Cricetulus griseus: one gene and its partner. The protein of the gene in region 1 purifies or fractionates together with the protein of each later gene. This does not show direct contact. Links are inferred from orthologs where the notes say so. Each region holds a gene or a part of one and is shown in the gene's direction. Other genes may lie near its edges.

The links. Proteins that work in one complex are often made in the same cells at the same time.
Region 2: the proteins of Ctbp1 (region 1) and Foxp1 purify together in Homo sapiens (affinity purification with western blotting; 3 studies listed by BioGRID and IntAct, with this or other methods). This does not show direct contact. The link is inferred for Cricetulus griseus from reciprocal best matches to the Homo sapiens genes CTBP1 and FOXP1.

The regions. Positions count from the first base shown.
Region 1 is NW_023276807.1:102,302,981-102,306,631, reverse strand, and holds part of Ctbp1 (C-terminal-binding protein 1), read left to right. Parts: intron 1-843; coding exon 844-1,050; intron 1,051-3,651. UniProt on the Homo sapiens protein: Corepressor targeting diverse transcription regulators such as GLIS2 or BCL6. Has dehydrogenase activity. Involved in controlling the equilibrium between tubular and stacked structures in the Golgi complex.
Region 2 is NC_048601.1:45,049,799-45,053,029, forward strand, and holds part of Foxp1 (forkhead box protein P1), read left to right. Parts: intron 1-636; coding exon 637-781; 3' UTR 782-3,231. UniProt on the Homo sapiens protein: Transcriptional repressor. Can act with CTBP1 to synergistically repress transcription but CTPBP1 is not essential. Plays an important role in the specification and differentiation of lung epithelium.

The DNA.
Region 1 (3,651 bases):
TAGACAATCAGTAGAGCTGGGACTGCTCCTTGAATGGAAAGGTGATTTGGGCCTATGGGTAGGGCAGGTTGTGCCAGGCAGCACAGGATGTGGGTACAGCTTCACTCATTGTGTTGTCACCAACCTACCAGGCCCTAGGGTTTGGTTGAGACAAGGGGCCAGTCGGGGAGATCATTGCCCTCCTCCTAAGATAACAGCAAAGGGAATGTGTGCTAAAGCCATGCATACATACACATGAAGCAACAAGTGCTCAGACTGTACACACATGAGCACAAATCTGTACCTGTGCATGTATTTATATTGAAACAGCATAGTCATACTTTACCATTCTAGGGTAGCCTGTTTTCTGTGCTAGTAGCCTGCTGACAAAGCCAGGCTACACTCTACAGTGTATGTTGTTGACGTCATTCTGCTACTCTGCTCCTTAAGGCTACAGAGAGAGGCTAGAGCTGACCTGTCTGGGAACCACAGGGCAGCTGAGCACTTCAGTAGTGTGTTGGGAAAGTCAGTCTTGTTCTGTTGGTTCATGCTGCCCTGGCAAGCCACAGGGGCCAAAGCCTTGGTGGCTGACCTGTCCCTCCCTGGGCAAGGCCCTACCATTTGGAATGATCAAGGCAGCATTTGCCTGTCCTCTGTCCTGTTTGCTTGTTAGCTGCCACATCTGTGTTCTGCAAGGCTGTGGGTACAGGCTTAAGTATGCCTAATGACATGTAGTCTCCTAGGTGGCTGTGGGACGTGTCCTCTGACATATTACTACTGTAGCACCACCCTGAGGGTAGGACCTCTGACTGTGGATGACAGGAGGCTATGGACCTGGTACATGTGTCGCCACATATCTTGTAGGCATCGCAGTATGCAATGTGCCCGCAGCATCTGTGGAAGAGACGGCAGACTCCACCCTGTGCCACATCCTGAACCTATACCGACGAACCACCTGGCTGCATCAGGCACTTCGGGAAGGCACTCGGGTCCAGAGTGTAGAGCAGATCCGAGAGGTGGCTTCAGGAGCTGCCAGGATCCGTGGAGAGACCTTGGGCATCATTGGACTAGGTACGTTGGCCACTGTGACTCAGCACAGATAGCCTGTGCCCATCTGCTACCCTTCCACTCCATAAAGCTGAGGCCATGGACTTGCTGGTTGTGTTGCTGTCCCCAGCTCAGCATAAGATATAGGATAAGTAGTCCAGGGGCAGGGCCAGAGACACCAGGCTATGTGTCTTACAGATGCCATCAATGGAGGTCACGTAAGAGTACAAATGAACATCATACATGGATGGTAACATGCATCACATGGGGATTAAACAGACATGGTGTACACATGGACACACTTAGATATATGCACAGTCTATACAAATGTTGTTGCATACACACTCACTCCCCACAGCTCTGGTGCAGTTGAGTGGGCATGACCTCGAGGCCCGTTTCTACCTTGCTTAGGTTATCATTGGTTCCTATGCTCCCTGGCTTGTTCTCACAGCCATCACCTTTTTGTGGGTACCCATCTGTTATGCGTACCATAGAGATGGCACAGTAAATTGTGCTAGAGTTCACCTTTGAGGGCTCCCTTGTTACCAGGCAGCCTACCCTTTGCTGACCCTGGCTGCATTGTGCTTCTGCCTTAGCCCTGCTGCCAGCAGCAAGAGATGGGAAGTGTGTGTAGGTCACCTTAGTTACAGGAAGAGGTGGGCCTGGGATATGGTTGTTGCTGTACTAGTGGACATGCATAGCAGGGCTGTTTGACCCTCCATGGTTCTGAATGTGCCCTTCCTGTCCAGTGTATAGGACAAGACAGCACCTCCTACCTCAGGGTCCTAGTGCCAAGACGTGTTGAAGGATGGAAGAAAGATAAGCATGGGTGGAATAAGGCATAAAGGGTATTGCTGGGCAGGTCTGGGTGGTCAGAGCATCTCCACCCTCAGATCTTGCCCTCGGGCAGTTTGTTTGGTCTCCATCTGCCTCTGCTTTCATCACTAGTGTTTAGGGCCTGAGTCGTGTCCTTTTTGTACCCTCTCTTGCAATGCCAGTTTGTCCAGTATACCATGTAGCTGCCACTACCTATTGGCCTGCTGTTCCTTCTGCTGTGTCAAGCTGTTTACTGTAGCCATCCCAAAGCTCCCTAGGGCTCAGGATACACGGATGGTGACATATATCCAATGTGGATGATGTAGATGACACAGACATGATTATACATGTAAACATACTTGTGTGTGAGTGTACAGTCTATACAAGCAAGGAGGGTGAATTTTGTCCCCTCGGGACACAGCAAGGGCTCCTGAGTTGTCACACCTACCTTGAGGACCCCCTATTCATATGTAATTGCTGTCTACCAACTACAGTACAGGTCTGAGGCTGGTTTCCACACACTCTGGAAGGGAGATGGGCACGTGTCCCAGTGTCCCTGTATCTCCTGCTCTTCTCTTCTGCTACCTGTTGAGGCTGTCTCCTGTGTGGAATATGGTGATTAGTTCTTGGTTCATCAGTGAGGCCACATAGGCAGTGTGGGCTGTAAGTTTTGGTTCTGTAATGGATGTGCCAGCTACTTTCCCTGGCTATTGGACTCTACACCCATAATGCCTGCCTGCCTTCTTTTCCTCTTATAACTGAAACATACTCTGCTTCTTTCATGAGAGTATAGAATGTATTTCTGTCTGAGACAGCCCTGTACTGTTTCCAGCAAGCCCTCTCTGCCTGTGGTCTTTGTGCTCTGTCTGGCACAGCTTGCTAGGTTCATCAGTCCTGGTGAAATGGAACCACAGGGCAGGGACCCTGGGTCTGTGCTCCTTCAACAGACATAAGGTTTCAGGTCTTCTCCACATACCTGTCTTGCTCGGAAGTTCTTCATGTTGAACAGGATTCTATTGATCTGTTTAGCCACTGGACAGATGAAGCTGCTGTAAACAAGTGTAGACATGCCTCTTTGTGACATGTGACACTGTTTTTCTTTAATTTAACCAGAAGTGGAGTGACTTGACAGAGCAGGCAGGAACCACCAAGGCATTCTTCAAGCAGGTGTGTGTCTTTGACACTTCTTAGCTGGGTACCTGCCCTAAGAGTTTGGACTTTGCTGACACTTAATTAATGTCAGCATTAGTGCTGCCCCTTACGTTTTCATCTGCACCTTTCCAATAGCTGAAGTGTCTGAGTGCCTTTCTTGCCGGAATGCCTGGCCCTTAGAGAACTTGTGCCTGTGTTGTGAAGCATGGTGCCTGTTGTGTTCTCTTTGGTTTGTCCTGGTGTGCATCTGCAAGATTCCATCTGTGTTCTGCCTCAGGGTCTCATCAGACAAGCATATTGACACCGTGGTACCCACTTAGTAACTGTGATGAGGACAGATTCTGGTTCTGAAGAAATCCAGCTTATTACTTGTAAGTTGTTACCATTTCTGTTCTAAGTAGTCTCTGCCTTCTCTAGTGCTATGCAGATACTGCTTTCTTCTGGAAGCTTCATAGTTTTGATTTTTACAGGTCTCAGACCACCTGGAATCATACGCCTTACCCAGTGCTATGAGTGTATTATTCCAGAAATGTAGGCAAACATGTTTGTGTCTTTCCACAGTAACAATAAATTCACAGGGCTCAGTGGTTGTAGTGGCAGCAATTTGTTAGATAATTTTGCCTCCCCAGTAATCTGGCCAAGGTGAATGCAGGATTT
Region 2 (3,231 bases), on another chromosome or scaffold:
TGGGGTCGTCCTCTGGAGGGTTCTTTCACAGGGTCTGCATGTTAACTAGCAGAGCAGAACACACAGCGAGTCATGATTAGCCCAGCCAGCCTCCTGTGCTCAGTGGTCCCCATGAACCACTGCCGTATTACAGATTCCCGTTTCACGTAATTACTTGCAGGGTGGCATTCATCCACCCAGGATGTCTCTACGAGGCCTGTTATTTGGCACTCCGAAGTGTGGTCCCAGGACCAGCACCATCACCCGGAATCTCTTAGAAACACAGAGTCTGAGCTCCATCCGCTGTACGTCACAAGGCCCTCCAGTAACTCATGCGTCCTGAAAAGCAGGAGAAATAATTTCTGTACAGAATCCTTCCTAAAACAGGGATGTCCACCAGATCTTTCATTGAGTGGCCCAGAAGCCCCTGGACACATGTGGTCCCTAGACCCTTGGGATGTAGGCAGTGAAAATGACAACAGACATGAAGTTATAGCAAGTTTCCCACCATATTTGAAAAACACACGTGGCCAGGGTGACTCTGCCTCTACTGGATAGTGTTGTTGCTATAGGATACATCTTCTAAGTTACCCCAACACCAGTTGTATGTACATCAATCCAGAAGCCCTCTAAGCCTGTTTCTCTCTCCCTCTGTAGGCACCCTGTACACGTCAAAGAGGAACCCCTTGACCCTGAGGAAGCGGAAGGGCCTCTGTCCTTAGTGACAACAGCCAACCACAGTCCAGATTTTGACCATGACAGAGATTATGAAGACGAACCAGTAAATGAGGACATGGAGTGAACCTCTGGGCGGGCCGACCCCTGAGACAGAAGATTGGGAAAAAAGCAAAACAAAAACAAATTAAAAAAAAAAATAACACGTCAAAAGTTAGCAGTGAAACCTTTCTCCGCTTGTTGTACAGTCTGGAGGATTTTTCGCTACATTTTGACAACTCTGAAATGTGTTAACTCTTAGTGCCATCAAGAATCCCATTTGGGAGTATTTTTGATTTTTCTACTTTTTGTTGACAAAAGGGATTTGTACTCTGTGCATTGGATGGACCTGTTTGGTACTTGGGATTTTCCTCTTTGAGTCAACATCAGTGTTGTAAATTCGATAAACGGATTCACTTTTAGCAGCAGACTTTGAACTGCAGTTTTGTCCTGCCAAGGCCGACACCGAGGACACCCGACTGAGCTCGCGCACCTGCGCCGCAGACCAAGCCTTCGCCCGAATTCAAGATTCCAGTGGACGACCTATTTGCACAGCACTGCATGTTGATATCACTGCCTTTACTCACTTTGGTTTTCTTTTTGTTTGTTTGTTTTTGTTTTTGTTTTTGCTTCCAGTTGGGATGGGGAAGGCCTTTGTGTGTTTATTGGGGGGAGGGGTTAAAAATAATTATCCCAAACTTTTTAATGTATTGCTTTTTTTTTTTTTTTTTTTTTTTTTTTTTTTTTGCTTCTTCTATACCATTTTAAGTTCTGACCTCAGGCCTCCATTTGGGCCCATGGCCTCTTGGAGGCTTCACGTTTTCTGTACCTTGTGATGAATGTTAATAGGTGTTTTTATTATACAAAGCTGAATGTCATTTCTCGTCTGTAGTTTTCTGGCACTCATTCCATTTTCCTATAGACATCACCACGTTTCTCTCAAGTTTAAAAAAACAAAACAAAACATTCCGTTTTGGTCTTTTTTTCCAAAAATTAAAAAAAAAAAAAAAGATCCCAAAGGCTGCACCTTACACCTGAAGGTCCTCTCACAGGGACATGGTGTCCTGCCAGAAAGAGAACGAATGACAGAAAAGGAGAGAGAAACACACGCACATACTCTAGGAACATAGCAGATTCATTTCACAAAAGCAGTATTGGGGTGGGATGGGAATGTTGGAGATTTTTCTTTTCATAGAGCCCGCCATTGTGAGTAACTGCTGCCACATTCTCTCAACGTCAGGAAACACAGCCAAGAGGAGACGATGACAAGAGTAAACAATCCTTAATAATTAGACTGGCATGATGACCACGGAAGGCTCTCCCCCCCACCCCCTTATAATCAAGTGGCCAGGACCACAGATTCTGTGTCGTCCTTAACAGCAGGGGTTGCTTTGTTTGCAAAATGACCAAAAAGCCAGCTTCCCTGACTAACTTTACTCAACATGGTGATAGTGCTGAGTTTGTGCATCGGTTGAGACCAGCTTGGTGGCGCTCATCTATTTTAATGCAAACGAGACATCACCTTGCACTTATTATGGGAGCTAATGAGCACTGAGCCCAGTAGATGGTGATGTGTTGGTTTCCAGGATGCAGAGTCTACACTGCAGTTGAGCCTGCAGTGTGATAGTCTCACACCACCCGAGTAGCACAGACTTAACAGGTGACACCAGTAGACAGACTGAGGCTTCTGGGACCAGGGCCCACAGAATTCGATGGCTCTAGGTCGGTATACCCCTCAGCCCTTCAAACCCCTCCACACTTCCATCTGCACCCACTTCCCTGGCATTTATTTATCTAGGGCTGTAGCTTTTTGTTTGGGTTTAGTTGGAGAGCCTTTCGAAGCTTAATTTATATACTTTGTACCTTTTATTTCTAAAATTACCAAAGATATTATGCAAAGGTAAATTATTTTCTTTTATGCTTTATCTGATGAAGCCAAATATCCTCTTATTGTTGATCAAAGGAGGCAAAAGGATTCAGAGGCAAATGATGAGGTCCAGGCTGTTTGCCAACCCGAGGGAAATAACTGCCCCTCCAACAGAGTTCATTTAGCAGACTAAGTAGGCAATGGAACCAAAGTTTTTTACTTTTTTCTACTTTTTTTCCTTTTCCTTTTCTGTACTTGTACAGAGACCAAAACTAACTCCTGTAAGGAGAAAATATGGGGCTACTGCAGAGAAAAAAAAAAATACAAACAGGAAAACAGTATTATAGCTCCTACGGAAAGAATGAGATACCATCTCAGAAAAAGAAATGAATGTATGATGCTGAAATTAGTGTGTAAATCAAGGAGACACTTAGGATGACTTAGGAGAACAGAAAAGTGTCTGACTGCACTAGGCCACTTCTAGAATAAAGAGTTTTTGGTTTTGTTTTTGGTTTTTTTTTTTTTTTTTTTTTTTTTTTTTTTTTTTTTTTTTTTTTTTTTTTTAGAACATTGGTATGCCACTTTTGTTTAAGGGCTGTGCTGTGATCACTGCATTAGTTTTGTTTTATCTTGGCACATATATCCTCTAGTTCTAGATTCTTCCTGCTTTT